4 linked regions of the Drosophila melanogaster genome follow. The protein of the gene in region 1 purifies or fractionates together with the protein of each later gene. This does not show direct contact. Each region holds a gene or a part of one and is shown on either strand. Other genes may lie near its edges. The genes, in order: TpnC41C, kdn, Scp1 and CG10581.

The links.
Region 2: the proteins of TpnC41C (region 1) and kdn purify together in Drosophila melanogaster (affinity purification with mass spectrometry, with the first as the bait; one large-scale study listed by BioGRID). This does not show direct contact.
Region 3: the proteins of TpnC41C (region 1) and Scp1 purify together in Drosophila melanogaster (affinity purification with mass spectrometry, with the first as the bait; one large-scale study listed by BioGRID). This does not show direct contact.
Region 4: the proteins of TpnC41C (region 1) and CG10581 purify together in Drosophila melanogaster (affinity purification with mass spectrometry, with the first as the bait; one large-scale study listed by BioGRID). This does not show direct contact.

What each region holds. Positions count from the first base shown.
Region 1 is NT_033778.4:5,064,715-5,072,069, reverse strand, and holds TpnC41C (troponin C at 41C), read left to right. Parts: upstream 1-1,859; 5' UTR 1,860-2,082; coding exon 2,083-2,088; intron 2,089-5,065; coding exon 5,066-5,093; intron 5,094-5,146; coding exon 5,147-5,542; intron 5,543-5,606; coding exon 5,607-5,641; 3' UTR 5,642-6,833; downstream 6,834-7,355.
Region 2 is NC_004354.4:6,349,077-6,353,641, forward strand, and holds the start of kdn (knockdown), read left to right. Parts: upstream 1-1,552; 5' UTR 1,553-1,659; coding exon 1,660-1,878; intron 1,879-3,205; exon of another isoform or gene 3,206-3,360; coding exon of another isoform or gene 3,361-3,405; intron 3,406-4,565. Other genes in the region: ND-B16.6 (NADH dehydrogenase (ubiquinone) B16.6 subunit), read right to left, coding at 620-978, 1,046-1,151.
Region 3 is NT_033778.4:2,965,016-2,969,921, reverse strand, and holds the start of Scp1 (sarcoplasmic calcium-binding protein 1), read left to right. Parts: upstream 1-1,869; 5' UTR 1,870-1,938; intron 1,939-2,577; exon of another isoform or gene 2,578-2,605; intron 2,606-2,730; 5' UTR 2,731-2,775; coding exon 2,776-2,827; intron 2,828-4,906.
Region 4 is NT_037436.4:21,033,054-21,035,776, reverse strand, and holds CG10581 (uncharacterized protein), read left to right. Parts: upstream 1-1,573; 5' UTR 1,574-1,584; coding exon 1,585-1,630; intron 1,631-1,693; coding exon 1,694-2,217; 3' UTR 2,218-2,223; downstream 2,224-2,723. Other genes in the region: siz (schizo), read right to left, coding at 476-858; Polr3E (RNA polymerase III subunit E), read right to left, coding at 2,305-2,661.

The sequences.
Region 1 (7,355 bases):
TACTGGTGGCAAGCTAATGCACACGGGGCCGGCTACACGCAGGCGGCACCGTTGCAGGTAACACTGCTGAGAAACTCTACGAAAATGCCCGTAATACTCGGAGACGGCATAATAGTAGTTAACACTGATGGGAAAACTCTGCGGCAATGCCCGGAATACTCGCATGCGACATGATCACAGTTAATACACGGACTCGTTCATTTGTTACTCATATTCCTCCCTTAGCCATAGCTGTCCCTGTCACACTCGAAAATGAATATGATATTATATAATAAAAAAATTTGATTCTTCACAACGGGCTTGTTCCACAGTTTTTGAAATCGAAGGCCATAGGCCAGACTGTCTTATTTTAGTATTCAGAAAAAATATTGCCACCGACTTAGAGTTGGACTTATCAATCCAAGGGAATCAAACGCCTTTTCTATCGTAGAAAGAATTGATCGTCTTGTTCTGTTACGAAGATACGAATTCATATCATAAGTCCAGTTTGAACTTACAATCCGATCTAGATATCTTTCAAATATGGTGCCGTGATAACGTACTAAACTTAAATGGCTCCAAGTGTAAAGTTATGACCTTTTGCCGTATCAACCAATACACACAACTTGCACTTAAAGGGTCGCTCTTTAGACAGAATAAAACGGGTTGATGATCTTGGTGTTTTTCTGGACCTAAACTTAAATTTTAGACCATATTTCGAATATTAAATAAGGCCAGGGGTGTGCTTGGCTTTATAAAAAGGTGGCCAAAGGAATTTTATGATCCTTACACGACCAAAACCTTAGTCCGTCTGATTTTTGAGTAATGGCCACCTGTCTGGAGTCCTCAATACGTCGTTCACTCGGACCGCATTGAATCGGTCCAAAAAAACGTTTTTCTGTTAACTCGGGCAGCGCCCAAGTTATCAGTGTGTCCAAAGGGGGAAGCTGATGAGTTTGGATATAGTTATCGGTATTCCCAAAGGGGGCATACTGAGCTCTTTCGAGTTTAAAACCAGAGTGGTCTTTATTGTGTCGGAGAAGTCTCCTCTAGCTCTTGGTTACTCAAGTTTTTGTCTTATAGATAAGTGCTTTTGGTTTTAAGTGTACATAGGTTCTTAATGTAAATATAATAATTTTTTTAGATTTTGCACCACTTACGGGGAGCATTTTCGAAATGTATTCAAACATAAATTGGCCAGAAGATAAGCAAATAAAGCAATAGATCCGCTATTCAGCTAGTGAGAGCGGGACCGATTTTTGAAACTTTCTGATCAAAAATGTATATACTTTATAGGATCGGAAAATCAACCTTCTGCCTGTTACATATTTAATAACGAATCTTGTAGTCAAGGGTATAAAAAATATATTCCGTTGTTTTATGTTTCATAATATGATTTTTTCATGATTTTTTATATATAATAACTGCGAGGGTGTATAAGCTTAGGAAATGTTATATTTTTATTCTATTCATAATTTTTTTGACCAATTTCTATAAGTATGCCCAAAAAGATTGGCCACGTCCACAATAAATGTAACCGCTACCAGGTTGCAATTGTGAGTAATCTCGTGAAGAGTGTTTTCTAATTTTGTTTTTTGTGTCTCCATTTCCCTTACACTCCCACACGCTGAGTATCAGAAGGGCGAGAAACAAAATTATAGCGTTCGCTCTTGTTTTTGAATTGCAATTTTTGTTCACAAATACCATTTTATAATACGTTCCAAGATCTAATGCAATGTACGGTTTATAAAAATAAAGAATTTTGATGAATATTGTGTATCTAAAAATAAAACTCTGAGTATTTTTCTGTCTTGTGGATAAAATTATCTTTGAGTTACATGACATACGGAATATTTATGTTGTCTTTTTTATTTGGTTTTAATTGTTGTTTTTGTTTCAACAAAAATAGTTGCAGAGCTATCATCGTATTAAGTCTAAAATGTTCCTGAATGTTGAGATGCATCCACAGAAGACACATAGCCCATATGTGTTTTAATCGCGTCAATACCAAGTTTATTTCTCGTCTTCAATTGTTTATTTAGCTTTTAATTAACGGAGTGTTCAATTTTTTAATATTAGAGATTAATCCAAAGAGCTAAAAAAATGAGCGTAAGTTAATCGGCAAAAAAAATAATCCCAGTATAAGTTTCCAAGCTACTTCGAGTTAAAATTTCAAGATTAAAGGAGTCAAAATTATTTCAGATGATCTCAATACTGAACGTTTTTCAGGGTGCAATCAGTTCAAATAAAATAAGTAACGATATAACGTTTTATATAGAGAGTTAATGCTTAACGCCCACGTTCCAGCAATGTTTGCTCGATAACTTTTCAATTAAGTCAGAGAATAAACATATTGTACATTCAACTAATATTTCTTTAAACATCATTAAACAGCTCACACATGTATTTGATTTGCAAATACTACATTTTTACTTTAAGGAATCTTACGTTTTTGGTCCGTCTGTCAGTCAGTCCGTCTGTCCGCATGTACAGGTACATTTACATCTATATACACCCATTCTTGATCACTAGTCGAATCGACCAGGTCATGTCCATCTTCCTGCCTATCTAAGGTATAACAAGAGAGAATGCTATAGTCGAGTTCGCGAACGCGAATTGCATTATTTTTCTGGGATATCGACAGATATTGGGGAGTAAAATGAGAAAAAAATAAAGAAAAGTGTGGGCGTGACCGATTTGGCGGCTTTAGGGCGTTTGAGTGGCGTGGCAAAAAGTTTTTTGGCAAATCTATAGAAATTTACAAGACCTTCTAGCTTTTATAGTTCCTGAGATCTCGACGTTCATACGGACAGACGGACGTGGCCAGATCGACTCGGCTATTGTTCCTGATCAAGAATATATTTACGTTATATAGTCGAAAACTCTTTCTTCTGCCTGTTACATACTTTTCAACAAATCTAGTAAACCCTCTACGAGTAATGGGTATAAATATCGAAATCCGTGGTTAATTTGAAAGTAGCCTTAAAGATTCTTCTGAATCCGTCGTTTCTATTTTCTAGCTTTTATGGATCCCAAAATCGCGTGTATATGATCAGAATAGCTGACCAACTGACGACCAGATTGACTCGGGTAGTGGTCCTGATACTGATTATGCTTATACCTATATTCTTTTTAGGGACGAAAAAGCTTCTTTCTACAAAAATATCAAAGATGGGGTTTATTGAATTTGTTACTTTTCTAAAACAGAGATTCATATTTAGAAAGAAAAGGTAAAGAAAGTGCTCTAGTTAACAAGTTAAGTGGGTCAAGATTAGTGCAGATAAGTGGAGCTAACTTGAGAACATCTTACTAAGAAATAGAAGAAGAGAGAATGCTATAGTGGGGTTCTCCCAGTTTTCTGCGGTATTATGGCGTTAGAGTGGGCGCGGCAAAAAGATTTTTGGAAAATCGATACAAATTTAAAAGACATAAAAGTTTTTTTGCAAATCGATAGAAATTTACAAACAAAAAAATTTAAAAATATCAAAACATTTTTAAAAAGTGTGGGCAATTTTCTGCGATTTGTGGTCGTTAGAGTGATCGTGGCAGCATGAGTCAATGAACTTGCCTTCCGTATATGTCTCTAGAATCTGTAAGCTTAATTTCAGAAAGCTGAAATCGAGACGCTGAATACGGACAGACGGACATGGAAATATCAACTCGGCTTTTGATGCTGATCAAGAATATATATACTTTATATGGTCTGCCTGTCTGGAAATCTAGTTAACACTTTTATCCTACGAGTAACGGGTTGATAGAAAAATTGTTTTGCACGCCCACTCTGACGCCCACAAGCCGCCCATTTTTCTCATTATATTCTCTAATTTCTCCCTATGTCCAAAAATGTCTCGTTCACACTTCCAGCTGAGAAATAGCAATTTATCATGTTTTTGAAGCCTACGGATATCCGATCTTTTAGAGATCCCTCTGTAATTGCTTACATATATTTGTTTATGAAGAGGTATCACGGACTCCTCCCATATATATAAAGGGTAAAGTAGAGGCTTGCATAAGACTTTCGCACAGAGCCTAAGCACTCAGCGTGTTAAGACTGGCTTAACTCGCTGAAGATCGTAAAGTAGTGAGCTTTCGTTTGAAGTGGGGCAAAATTTCAATTTGGACTTCTAAGCCGCTTAAGAGTAAGGGTGTTCGTCGGGGAAGTTTAATTCCCACGATCCCTCTTTCATATTTTTCATCTTAGCTTCAAACTCCTTCACCACCGTACTTTTCGGTCGAAAATCATCAGAACACTTCAAAAAATAAAATGTCACTCACGCAAGAAAATTTAATATTTTCCTTTTTAATGTTATCGGCTTTGGAAGACAAATCTTAAAATTAAAGTAGACATGATGATTGGGGACTTCGGGTACTGTTTATTTTAATGATATATAAATCTTGGTAAGCCTATCACCTCTCCAAAATAATGAGAATTATTATTAAGTTAATTTTTTAATTAAAAAAAATGATTTGTTTTCCCACCGTTCGTCTGTCGTCAACTCTCACTACCGCATAAAAGCTGTCGATCATATAACGATAGGGCAGTGTGCCCGGCTTAGGACTTGTCTTAGCCGACTAGAGTTTTTGTTGGTGTTGGCTAAATGTTTGTACTGAATGAAATATTTCGCCCCCGGTTTATTAACTTTTCCAATAACTTTTCCACTTACCGGAATAGACTCGTTTATTGGCGATTTTCTTTCGTTGCTATTAGTGTGACCCATCATGCAATTCTTGGCTTTAACCTTGAATTTTACAATTTTATAAAATCAAGCAAGGTAGGACCTCCTTTGGAAGGGACAATTTTAGCAATTCAGCTATGTACACACCACAAGGCGGCTTTAAAAATGGCGAATATTGGAGGAGGAAAGCCGCTTTGCATTCCAATCGATTTCCAAAACTATCGTTGACCTTACGTGAAATAAAAACTAATCACTGGCATTAGATTGACATCAAACCACACATCAGGCAGTTAACAATTAAGAATTCAAACACAGTTAAAGTCATGACGCATAAATATATTAAATGAAATTGTATTTTAGTATTATGCCTATATTGTATATTTCTAAATAAACACCCTTATTTTTCTTAGGATGAATTGACTAAGGAGCAAACTGCATGTAAGCTTATAACCCATTTACTGATTTCTTAACTAAAAAGCATTTCCTTATAGTACTACGTAATGCATTTAATGCTTTTGACCCTGAAAAAAATGGATATATCAACACAGCTATGGTGGGTACGATACTTAGCATGTTGGGTCATCAACTTGATGATGCAACTCTTGCTGACATTATCGCTGAAGTCGATGAGGATGGTTCGGGCCAAATCGAATTTGAAGAATTTACCACCCTGGCAGCCCGCTTCCTTGTGGAAGAGGACGCTGAAGCTATGATGGCTGAATTGAAGGAAGCTTTCCGCCTTTACGACAAAGAAGGAAATGGATATATAACTACTGGTGTTCTTCGTGAAATCCTGCGCGAACTAGACGATAAATTGACAAATGACGACCTGGACATGATGATTGAGGAAATTGATTCCGATGGATCGGGTACTGTTGATTTTGATGGTATATAAATCATACAGCTGAATTACAAACGCTTTGCTATTTTATAACATATATTATTTTATAGAATTTATGGAAGTAATGACCGGTGGCGACGACTAAAACAATATCAAAAGAGTACATCGAAATAAGTATTTTAATTTAAACAATGCAATCAAAATTGAATGACATGAGAAAAAATTATATTATATTATTTTGTCTAAAGTAAATAAGTAAATTGATCGTATGAAAACGTAAAATATTTTATTCTTACGCATTTTTTTAAAACCCTTTTAAGTTACTTTAAGTAGTCCTGCCAAATGGAATAAATCTCTATCGGTTCCACGCAAATAGTATAGTTTAGTTTTGTATAGTTTAGTTTATAGTTTATAGTCACGTTGGCCGTGTTGTTAGAGGCCTTGGACTGCTTGCGCCACTTTAGTCGAACTGCATTTTCTTTGTTGCTATCAGTCTGACTCAACGAGCCATTTGTTTCCCCCCTTTGCTTCAGACTCTTGGCTGCTCGGAATTTAACGTTTCTGTAAGGGAGGTGGACGAGTACGGAGCGTTAAGAAATTTTTGGTACATCGCAGATTGAAGTCCAAGCGGATTAACGGATTCACTCGCCAGTCAATTTAGAAAAATTAGCTGGAAGACGGATAATTTTAAGGAATTATGCGTAAAAACGACAAGGATTGTTTTTAGTCAAAAAGCACGAAGTGATAAACAATGCCTTAAGAGAATTATAAAAAAGATATTGTCCGATTAATAAATCTGGAGAATTGAAAGGTAAAACATTAAAGCAACTAGAGCGATACAATGAAAATGATACAGGCCAATATTAAATTCCTCATTAAGCATTTATAAGAGAGGATAGTCTTATCACTAAGCTTCGGGTGGTGTTTGACGCAAAGACCAAAACAACAGATGGGAAAAGCTTTGGTATTCACATGACTAGGACATACATTTAGAGGATAGGCAGCACGTGCTTTCCCCTCCCACCACCTCTAGCTGACCAAATTGCAGCTGAAGTCATTGTTCTGCAAGTGGGTCATTATCTACTCTACCTCCACCGCCGGGAATGTCGGTGTCAGCTAGCGCAGCATCAGCACCGGAAGACAGGCTAACGACTCTGGAGCTCTGCAGCGTACCGATGATGAAAGGGCATACGGACCTTGTGTTTGGCTAAGCGTTGGGCCGCTGAGCTTACGAGCGGCTGGCGAAGCGCTGGCCACTCGTTCGATTTTCGATTTTTTTTTTTATCAAATTATAAAATTGTACTTAATTATAGAAATAAAAGAAACTAAGACCTTGAAGTATTCATTTTTCATATGGTGAAAACCGAAAGCATGCAACTCCCTGCAAGGATTCCAACTCCAAGTAGTATTTTCGACTGCTTAGATTGGCGCCCGAACAGTTCGCTCATCACGAGGATGGAGAATGAAAAAAAGGGGAAAATGCTTGCGACCGGTGCACCGCGGTGATGAGAAAAAACTATAAAATGTGAACAAAAAGTCCAAATAATAAAATACAATAGGCTGATACGCACCACGGTGACAAGATAGTTCACGGGTGTGATGTGCCAGATGTGACAACTAAATATTTAAAAAATCCAAATATGAAATAAATATAAAAATTAAATAAATATATATAAAAATAAAAAAAATATGGCAAAGCGTTAAGCTTGTTCAAGGGCATAAGATAAGATAAGATAAGATATATGAAATCAATTATGGTGCACGGTCGTGAGGGGAAACCCTATTGTGCGGAGACTTACCAGAAACGCTAAGAGGCGTTGAATGCGATCCATACCTTATTAGGCAATGCCAAAACTGAC
Region 2 (4,565 bases), on another chromosome or scaffold:
GATCATGGCCCATGTATAGATATATATTACTTACTTATAATTACGACTACTTAATGTTAGAGCTCACGATCACCCGCTATTGTGTAATAACCCGAAACTCCAAATACTGACACACAAAACGAGCGTCAAATCGATGTTGAATTCAATAAAAAATAAAAATAAAATAAATCAAGAATGTTTTTCAATGGCTCAAGATTTCTTCATTGCTATTTTAATAATCCCTATTGAATCATAAGCATTTCGTAGTGTTTTATGTTGTGAATTTATTATTTTTACTAAGCAGCAGATTTTCAATTAGATTTTAATTTGGTGACACAGCCAACTGGGATTCCCCGCTGTTGGTGCCACCAAATCCATCTAATTTGGCCATTTTTGAGCACTGCCCGTGGGCTATATTGCAGCTGGACGGCAACGCCCCCGGTTTGGTAAAAATCTCTGGCTACCTCGGGTGGTCCAGCACAGGATTTGGATTAAACACACACAAAGAGAATCGGTATTTCAGCCAATCTGATCTGACATTATAATTGGTCGATACTTTCTTTTTTTGGCGCTTAGGCGGATGATCTACAAACAAAAAGGTGCGTGCTTAGGCATTAACTAATCCATTAACTAGGCCGATTTAGGACCAGAGCTTCAAGTGGGCACGCTTGGCGTACGACTTCCAGTCGGAGTGGGCGTAGAACTCCTTGAAAATGGGCGTGACCAGGGTATCCTCGGGCAGGGTCTTGAAAACGGGCTCACCATACCAGGTGCCCACCTCCCAGCCGGGCACGTTCTTCATCAGCTCGGCCTCCTCGTCCCGATTGCGTCGCAACTGGCGCAGGAATTCGCGATCCCGCTCGGCGACCAAAATGGGAAAGATGACATTCTGGGCGGAACGCATCTCGATCTCGTCGCGCTTCACCTTCTTGGCGGTCAAGTAGTAGATGCCCAGGCCAACGGCTGTCACAACCACATAGGTGCCGATGGTGGTGAAGCCTGCCGAGGGATTGATATAGTTACCAGCACATATATGGTTAGATCAATGGGATTTGGAGGAGCTCACCTGTGAAGTAGCTCTTCGGTGGCACGCGGGCAAAGGGTATCTTCTTGTAGCCGCCCGGCGGTGGAAGGTCCTGTTTCGGGGGACAATGCGGCACTGCCGTCGCCATGGTGACTCCTCCTGTGGTACAAAGTATATATCAGTCGGCTGTTTGGCCGGTAAACTGGGACTTACGCTCGAATAAAGGGAAAAAATCTGTTGAATTGTCAAAAAAATGACGTTTTTTGCATAACACCAAGGCAGTGTGGCCTGACTTGGGGCAGGGTAAAATACCAAGTAGTGACGAAAATATACCAAAAAGTGGCGAATACTGCAAACGAAGTTGAAAAATATTTTCTAACGTGAAAAGTTGAGTCAATTTATTTGATTTATATTATATTATTATCGAAAGACAATCACAACAACAAGTCACAGTAGAACGTGCAAACGTTTATACGGTATTACAGTATATACAGTATTCCGAACTGTTTGATACCATCCCTATATTTATCGCAATCGCTTTCCTGTCAAAATAAATTTTTGTATCCTACATCACTAGCTTTCACATTCCCAAAAACAAGAGAAAAAGCGAACTAGAAACTTCGAAATATCGTATATATTTACAGCTAAAAGTAGTAATGTTCGTACGCCGTTTCGGAAATGGCTCTTTGGGCCATCATTTTGCCTTTCAACGACGTTATTTGGCTAAAAATTCTATGTGGGACTCGAAGTCCATTGGGACTCCAAGTTCATTCCGAATGCGTTCCAAAAAGGATAACGTGACTGGCAATCTCAAGGAGCAGCAACAATCGGCGACTCCGGAAACCTTGAACATGCCTGATATGCAGGATGCCCAAGTGAGTTTTCTTTTAATATAAATCTCCCTTCATCTGATTTTTCCATAACAGCGAGAAAGGTGACCAAGACCATATGACCATAAACAAATTTTATTTAATATTTGCCAAGATCTGTTTTTCCAAATTTCGTTCAAAAATGAATCAGTTTTTTGGCCACAACTTTAAAAATATTTGTCCAAATATGGAGTTCCATATCTCGTTGAGCTCGTATTTAAATTCCCTATCAAACTGTATCCACAAATGGAAATTCTATTTTTTGACCATTTTTCGCAAATTTTGATGATGTTACCCCTTACAAAAAATGCGAAAAATTACCAAAAAATTAGTTTTTCCAAATCGGTCAAAAAGTGATTGGGATGGTTAGCCTTCGCAATTAGCTGCTCAAAACAGTTATTCTTTTCGCTTTGTGATCACTTTTAGTCAAGTTATGATTAAAATGCCCATCTATAATTTTGTAATTTTTGCAAAAATAATTTTTTTCGATTTTCCGTCATAAAAGAATCAGTTTTTTTTTGCCATAACTTTAAAAATAATTGTCTGAATACGGAATGCAATACCTCGTCGAGCTCGTATTTAAATTCCCTGTCGAACTGTATCAAAAAATAGGAATTCTATTTTTTGGCCAATTTTTGCAAATTTTGATGATGTTACCCCTTACAAAAAAAAAATTGACCCAAAAATTAATTTCCCTAAATCCTTCAAAAAGTGGTAGGAATCCTAGCACTGCGAATTCGCTACTAAAAGTAAAAAAACTACTAAAACTAAGTAATTAAAACTACTAAATTGTAAACTGTACGACAAGTTTTAACAAAGTTATGATGATAAACGTCTTCGTGAATATCGAACTTTTTATTGATCTGTGGCCTTTTTCGGCAAAGCTTTATTATAAAACTTCAGTTGAAATATGATTATTTTTTACAAAAGTCGGTGTTTGATTTTCCCGCAATAAAAAGATATTTCCCTCACACGACAGTATTTATACTCTATAGCAAACAGACAATGTCAGGGAGCGGTTTAAAATGCATGGAAATGGGGGGTGTCGACTGGGATAGCTAATAGACTTTTTTAAAATTGGAATTGAAAACTAGTCTGCACTCGAGCAAATGTCAATTTATATGGATCTTAGTAGAGCAAAAATGCATCCAAAGCATATAACATCTATTTCAATTAAATAAGTTGCGTGGGCGTTTTTTTTCAAGTACCAGAGCAGGCAGCCCACCTTAAGTGTGACCTTTCTGGGGGAGAGCGGAAAACGCCGTTGCGTGGGAATTAGCGGGTGTTCTTTGCGCTCGTGCCGCCCCTTCCCGCAGAAAATGCGATTGGCGCCATTCAGTTGCCGCGCAGCTGCTAGACGAGAGACCCACGAAAAGAACACTTCACTTCCAGAAAAAGGAAAGCAAATTTTTTTCTGTGTGTGTGTTTTTTTCTAGCCAAGGCGAAAGTGTTTTTCTTCTACTCGCAGCCGTACGTAATCGCATTGCCATGTCGCTCTATCGCATTTCCGCACGGAAATTGTCCGAGGCACAGGTGAGTTCTTCATTTTAACTTTTCGAATTACCCCTTTGCTTTTCGACCAGTGTATCGAATTCCCATGCTTTCCTGGGATCTCTATCCACCTCCTTCCAGTTAGCTAACCGTAAAGTGTGTCGCTTCTGTTGTTAAAACCTTCGTCCTCTCCCCTCCCTTTCGCTCTTCCTCAACCCATCCCTCATCTGATCCTACTCCTCTTTTCCCATCCTCTTCTTCTTCTTCAACACACGTCACGCTGGAATTGAAAAAAAAAGAATTTCCAGACATGTGCTTGCGATTAAGAACTTTATTCTCTTCATTGTTGTTGGCGAATGATAAGTGCTAACGTGTATGCATGTACGTACGTATGTGTGTGCCTGTGTGTATGTGTGTCTTCTAATACATTACATAATCGCCAAATGAAATTCGCCCATTTCTTTTTTTTTTTGGCAACATCGGAATGCCTATAAATAAAAATCTCTATATTCTTTGTGGGTTTAACGAACTTTGTCTCTTTTTGGGCCGCCCGCTTTAAATTTTTTTTTGGTAAATTTCCACAAGTCCGGCTTGATTTTTTTTGGGTCTTATTCTTGTAAATTTACAACAACAAAAACAAATGCCACGGCGCAGAGCGAAGTGAAGAAAAAGAGCGTAAGGCAGAGAGAGTTGGTCGAGCAAGAGAGAGCAGAGAAAAAAACAGAGAATACCATTTTCCCCTTTCATTCGTTCCCGTTTCGTTTCTCATGCGTGTCACTATGCTTATGCTGTGCTTTTGTTGTTGCCAAAAGCGATAGAAGGAAGACACACCATCTCTCTTTTGCAAAAGAGAAGTGTCCGCCGAATGACCTTAAAGCAAAAGGAGGAGCAGCAGCACGCCCACTTACCACCCACCGGCAATGCACATTTGCATGTGAGCGGATTGCATAATGCCAAGAACGAGAAAAATGACAAAAAGAATAGTACTTGCGATTTTGTAATGAGAAAAATCAATAGCACACACACACACACGTACGTACAAATGTACACCCACGGCGTGCACACATACACACAAAAAAGGGCTTGCAGGACGAGCCTCCTTTTGATTTTTTTCGGGGGTGATTTGCTTTCTCTTTGACCTGCGTGGGGTAATAAGTACACAGGCAAAAAAGGAAATTAAGGTCAATGCGGCAACTTTAATA
Region 3 (4,906 bases), 2.1 Mb from region 1:
AGCAGAGCTCATTGACAACAATAACCAACAAGTCATTGTTTACAAACAAGAAAGAATAAACAAACTGACTACAGTATCTAAAGCTCTAACAATTTCTATACAAAAGGGCAGTTCCGTTCGTTTAGAAATTGCTCTTAGTTTACAAACCCAGATTAGACTCCTAAAAGTAGAAACTGCCATCCAGTGGGCGCGACAAGAGGTCGTAACACACTAGTACTAAATGAAGATGAATTAATTGAAATAGAAAGAATATTTAAGGGAAACAACATGTTATTACTATCGATGAAAGAAGCTATGGCGTTTTCCGAGGTCTCTATTCTACATAATAAGACAACACATTTGTACATCGTAAAAGTCGCAAACTTTATAGAAATACTAAGATATCATTGTAAAACCAATAGTTAAAAACAACAGAACTACAACAACTTAGACTTTCAAGAAATCTTTGCTTTCGAAAATCTTACCTATATATACATATATAAATATGCGATGAGAAAAAAATTGTAAATATAAGAAATTAATTAATTAAATTAGTTGATTGCTCTCCAAATTTAGTTCTGGGAAAGAAAGATCTGTGTAGTTTTAGCAACTCCGACAACTTATCCAGAATGGAAGAGGTCGACGACGGAATCATCCTATTAAACGATTACGATGGAATCATATCCTGGATCCTCACAGAGCTTCACCTACTTTGTTTAGCTATCAAACGACTCGATGATTATCGACAACAGGGGGATTCGCCAACTTGGAACCTACAGCCCTGTCTCCTAGTTCGCCTCTTGTACAATTTACAGATGAAGAAAAAGAAAGACTGAGGTTATATCTCTTGAAACACTGAACCGTTGCATATACATAAAAGGCCAACAGCATAACCCTACTGACGCTCTTCGACAATACTCTGATTATCATCCTGGGCCTTCACACCTATAGTCAAAGGAAGAGAAGCATAAACTTGCAGCTTAGACCTATACCGGGAATGGAAACAAAAGTTAACATCAGCTACCTCAGTTCAATAACATTCCCTACATAAATTAGAAAGTTAAAGTTAATAACAATGAATTCAACATCGGTCTACAACAGAATGTAATAGAGTAACAAACCCCAAATATGCAAGCTCAGCGCCACCAAGCAGATTTCCCAAAATGTGTTTGGCAATTGTTTCCGCTCCCACCAGCGCTTGTGATTCCAAGAAGCCGACGTCGATCCTCTGCCAATAAGGACAGCACAGCCGACAGCTAAAGACTCGCAGCTTATAAAGACGATGTTCTCACTTAAGTTTATAGTCCAACTCTTTTAATGCTCGTTACTCATAGAGTAAAAGGGTATACTAGATTGGTTGAAACAGGCAGAAGAAAGCGCTTCCGACAATAAAATGTATATATATTCATGATCAGGATCAATGTATCGATTTGCAAAAAAAAATTTTGCCACGCCTACTCAAACGCCCCAAAGCCGACAAGCCGGTCACCCCCGCACTTTTGAAAAATTGTTAGATATTTTTCATAATTTTATTGGTCGTGTATATTTCTATTGATTTGCCAAAAAACTTTTTGCCACGCCCACTCAAACGCCCTAAAGCCACCAAACCGGTCACGCCCACACTTTTTTAACAATTTTTTATTTTTTTTTCATTTTATTTTTTTTCTAATATCAATCAATCAATCGATATCAATCGATTTTCCAGAAAAATTATGAACTTTCGCGTTAGCATTGACCCTAGCTTAGTTACTGGTATCTGATAATCAGGGAACTCGACTATAGCCTTCTCTCTTGTTTTATATTATTATACCCGTTACACGTAGAATCAACGAATCTAATTTTACTCTACACGTATGGGGCATAAAAACATATATATATTTTCTTATATGTATATATATTGTTTTTATATAATATTATATCTTAACAGTAATAGACAACTATAGACCGCCGATCACAATGGTAATAAGACATAAAACTGTACATTTGAATGTTGAATATTGTATCTCCTATATATGTATATGTATATGTACATAAAACCGAAAATAAGAATTGTGAGTTTTATAAAATGTGTGCTTTATAATAGGTTATGCATGTACTATAAATATATACTTGTGAATATACATGTGTGTAAGCTTGCAAAAATAGTAAATATTTTTCTATTAATAATCATGTCAATTAATTATCAATTCTTTAAATGTTAAAATGATTTTTGATATATTTTACTATTAGTGTTCAAATACAAAATTAAATAGGGGTGAATTGTTCGCTTTTTTTCCATTTTAAATGGTTAATTAGAGCATAATCTATATGGAAACTTTCACGAATAACATTGTAACAGGTAGGCTTAATATTTGGTAGTAGAAAACTGAATTGTTATTGATTGTGATTTCAAAACAGTGCTATAGTTTACTTAATACAATAATTACATTTAGTACAATGGAAACTCCTAATTAAAAATAAACTACCTTTTGAAAGAGAACAAATATATACAAATGCACTTTCTATACAATACACATTTGTATGTATAATGTTTAGATACATACCATGTAAATAATGTTGCCAAAGTGTACGACTTTTGGCAAAAGGTTTAGCAAATTTAGTTAGTCTGAAGTAAGCTATTCCGAAGGTAAGGAGCTCATATTTACTATTCAAGAACTTTTTACCTAAAAGTACTATTTATAGATACCAAAAAATTTTAATTTATTTATAGACTTTTATTAGTTCAGATAGTAATGGTATTTCTACTTTTAGCTATTTACATTTTATGAGGATAAGCTCCAAACAAATTCCGTCATAATGGCTTATTCCTGGGATAACCGTGTCGATTTTGTCGTTCGGTATATGTATGGTGAGTAGAAAAGGACTTAGGCTTATTAAACGTATCCTATAGTGAATTAAAATACCTTAAAAATTTACGTATATTTTATACAAAAAATTTAAGTTTATATTCCATTGCATTGAATACATAAAGCCATTTTTATACATATCTTCGGAACTATCCGAAATCCGATATTTTAACAATATATACATTTTATTTTAATTTTATTTAATATGGGACGACTATATCATATAGCTGCATTAAGAACTGCTTGAAAATTAAACACCCAAAATAGAATATAAATAAAAGTTTCGTTTTTTAACACTATGGGTGCTAAGTAGACATATATGTTTTTGTAATTACTGAAAGGGTATTTGGATAGGATTAATCAAATTTGCAAGCGCACAAATACAATAAAAATAACATTTACAATTGCTGCGGATCAGATTTATGTAACAATCTCAAGTCTGGCAATTTAAATGTTGCGCCATATTTATGATGTAGTTTTATAATCCGTTAAAATGAGGTCACATGGAACCGGTCAAGTGGTCATTGCAGCTTATATGAGGTTAAGCCAAAGACATTTGAAGAACAAGATGCGTAACGCCATACAATTTTTTGCACACAATTTTATCGGGATGGCTCCAGAGGTGGCTCAGCAGTTCTTTTCTACGCATACAGTGACAGCCGACAACTGTATGGTAATGCATTGTAAATTTGACAATTTACAAGTTCATAGACTTTACATCTGTATTATCTTTGTTTAATTGGCAACATGTAAAAAATTCTTGGCTTGCATGGCCTTAACCAAAGACCCTAGTGTCTAGTTTCTTTGCCTTAACTATATTATTATTTGAATATATATGTACATAATATCACAAAATAAATTTCAAAGATGACTATATTAGAACAAAGGTTATTAGGGCGTTCACTTGCCCCTTGTGAAAAATTAATAAGGCAATCATTGTTGCAATAAACGTGTTCGTGTCTCAAGATATGACTTTTGCAATAAAAAGTTTTCATATTTTTATTCATTTTATAAATATTTATTTTCTACTACTTATTATTTTTGTGAAATATCTTTTCCTCAATGTAATGACTTCTTTTTGGAAAAGTTATGTTTTAATTTAAAATTTTATTATTTTATTTTATTATCCGTTTGATTAAAGCTGACTATACGCCGAGCTTCTCTATTTTTTGAAAGTTTCGCTATATAACCTAGTTTATATATTTAATTAAAGTCGTTTTGTTGCAATATCGTACTTTAGGTGATATATTCAAGGTGTAAATTCGTAATTATTATTTTATTTTATCATATTGCTAAGAAATTGGGTATACTAGGGTATACTAGACTCGTTGAAAAGTATGTAACAGCCAGAAGGTAGCGTTTCCGACTATATAAAGTATATATATTCTTAATCAGGATCAGTAGCGGACATGTCCATCTGTCCGTATGAACGTCGAGATCTCAGGAACTATAAAAGCTAGAAGGTTGAAATTAACCATACAGGTTCTAGAGATAAAGACGCACACTCATTTTTTCATATTTTTATTAGGCTTTAAAATTTCTATGGATTGGCCACAAAACTCTTTGCCACGCCCACTCTGACGGCAGGTTACAGCTAGGTTATGTTGATCATTAACCGAAATTATATTAGGCTAAGTTAAGCCGAGCTTTAAATCTCTCTAAATGCCTATGGGACTCTTGTGGACTCCAAATGGCAACCTCAACTTCACTTGGTCGTAGGGAAAATATTTCAGAGTGTTCAGACAACACGGTTTTCGAGTGTTCGCTTGGATCTCCAATCGCTAAGCTATGAAATCACTGAAATCTATATTCATTGTTAATGGTTTACAATATTAATCTTTGTGCAAATTAAAAGTGTTCCTTTTTAATTATTTGAACAAAAAATTTTTATTTTATTATAATTTAATATTTTATTCATGATAGACCTTTTCACTTATACTATTACAAGACATTCTTTTTATCTCTTGTCTTAAATTTAAAACTGTTCACGATCTCGTCCCGATTCAGACTGATCTTCTAAATATTAATCCTAATCCACTCAACCTTGGCCAGAAGCTTTTCTTTAGGATTTTCTTGAACTG
Region 4 (2,723 bases), on another chromosome or scaffold:
GCATTAAAGAAGAGCTTTAAAAGTAGGTAGTATAGCAGAAAAGATTTTAAATATATATTGTTTCAAAATATAATCAATTTAAAGATGAATACTATCTCCTGACTGATTATAATTACTTAATGGAATATTTTGGCTCTTAATGAGATCACAAAATAAACAACCGCATTTTACAGAGTATTTAGTGAGAAATTGTTCTTTGTAATATGTAAAATGCTCGTTGACACATCTAGAACAATATCGACAAAATTCTTTTTAAATATGTTGAAATCAAATTGCTGAACATTGCAAATTTTTTCTGGCCCCCAAATGCCATGAAAATTATTTTGCAACCGCAATTTTAAAGTGCATCTCTTCCTATTGGAAGTTTCCATTTAAGCGGGATGTCCAATAGGAAAATATGATATGCCATTAATTCACCCTTATTTAACAGATATTTGAATATATTACTAGATAGTAAACATTGGTGGGCACTCACTTATCATCGAGATCGACGGGCAGTCGCTTGAGCTCCGACATGTCCAGCTCCAGTCGCAGATTGGACACTTCACAGAGCAGGCGATCGCGTTCCAGACTCAACTCCTTGATCTTGGCGTGCAGGGCATTGTTCTCCCGGAGCAGCTCGTCCACATTGTAGGGCATCGCATGCACATGGTGATGGGGCATGTTGATGGAGAGGGGCAGGGGCAGGGAAACGGGTCCAGGTGGGGCGACACCCCCAGCGGAACCGCCCGGCCCTCCTTGGTTTCCCACAAACATTATGGAGCTGGCCATCAGCAGGGACTGCGTGGTCTGATGCAGCAGCAATTCCTGGTCGCCATCCGAGTTCTGGGATAGATTCTTCAGATCGGCCTCGGACATGTTTTGTTTATAACCTTAGCGGGGATCGGCTGCACTCCTAATCGATGTGCTTTTGTGGCCAAAACATTATAGCCCCGCCACGCACACGCACTCGCGCGAATGAGGGAAGGTGGTGGAGAGGGTGATAAAACAGCGAAACAGGCAGAACCACTTTGAATCTCACAATAAGAACTGAAAATGCAGCTTGCTGCGAGTTGAAACTTCACTCGTATTGTAATTGAATGACCTTCGTATATTATACTTCAGAGCCAGCACTTCGAATCGCGAGCAACAGTTGGTGCGGATCGGAGGGGGATTACGAATATTCTCGGAATTACGGATTTTCAATTCACGCGCGACGAAAAACACGACGCACTCGTCGTTCGACGTTTGGAAACAGTGTGGACGTGCTGGGGGGCACCGCAGTGTGACCATAGAGCATGCAACTCAAAATACGCTATCGTATTCAAAAAATATACCGCATCAAATGTGGCATTTTAAGACGACCGTTTTATTTTAAAATATATTGTTGTTTTCATCTTATTTAAGAAGGGCATAAACAATCTTAAGTTTATGCTCATTATTATACATAAGCATTTTCTTTCTTTGATAAATTTAAAACTCATTAAATCTAAATATGTGTGCATTAATTAAGATTTATTTTGGAACTGCCAATGATCCATTCCTGGTTGATCTAGTTCACCACAAAAATATTCTATAAAATTGGTATTGTAATAATAAGCCGACATGAAGAACCAAAAAAATATAACCATTATACTAACTGGGCCACCAGGTGCAAATTTAGCTGGGAAAATATTTGCTATTTGTTTATTATGTATGTAATCATGATTTTCAGGAGTGGGTAAAACTACACTGGTCCACAAAATATGCTCGGCTCTGCAGGATAGAGGACGCATTCTTCAAGGATTCTACACAGAGGAAATGCGAGGTGAGGGCACCAGCCAAAGAATCGGCTTCGACGTGGTCACGTTAGCCGGAAAACGAGCAATCCTATCTCGCAAGAATCCCGGGGACCAGCTGCGACGACCCAAAGTGGGAGAGTATTCGGTGTTTGTGCAGGACTTCGACAGTCTCGCTCTGCCAGTACTTGGCACACAGGATTCCCAACCAGAGCCGGATCTCCTGGTCGTGGATGAAGTGGGCAAAATGGAGCTGCTTAGCAAGCGATTTGAGTCGGCCATGGCTGATCTCCTGAAGAAAAAGCGGGCCCTATTGGTCACCATACCCGAGAAATCAACATTGGCTTTGGTGGAGCAGCTGAGAAAGTCAGCAGGATCCAAGATTTACCAGGTGACCAAATTCAATAGGAACGCCTTGGCTGGAGAGATTACAGAAGAGATTACAAAAGCACTTCTTTAACAAAGTAAAATTGTTGGTCTTTTTAATAGTGCCTAGATGTATAATCGTGCTGCCGATTCTCCGCCGCTGGGAGATCATCATCCGATGCTACGCATCCACGGAGCCAGTTGTTGAGTGATTCATTGCGGGCGGCGGCATGGCTGAAGTCAGTGACTGGGATTCGCTCTTCCTCGTCGAACGTTTCCGAACACGTTTGGTTTCCCTAGCCCAGTCCATTTCATTGTAGTGCTGCTCGGAAGCGGTCCAGTGGTACTCCTGTCGGCTGACCAGTTCCGGGTACTTTTGCTCGAACTCCTTGTCGGGTGGCAGTAGCAGCTCCCACCGTTTTGTGTTATTCACCCGGGCCACAGTCTTCAAAACGTCAAGTGTTTCCGCAGGAGGTAACTGGGTGGCGGCCATTACCTGAGCTCGGAACAGGTAGGGCGTGCGGGAGAAACGAAAGAGCTGCGGATGGATTTGAGGAGATTAGTACAAGATAAGTGATCGCTACACCCATACTATAACTC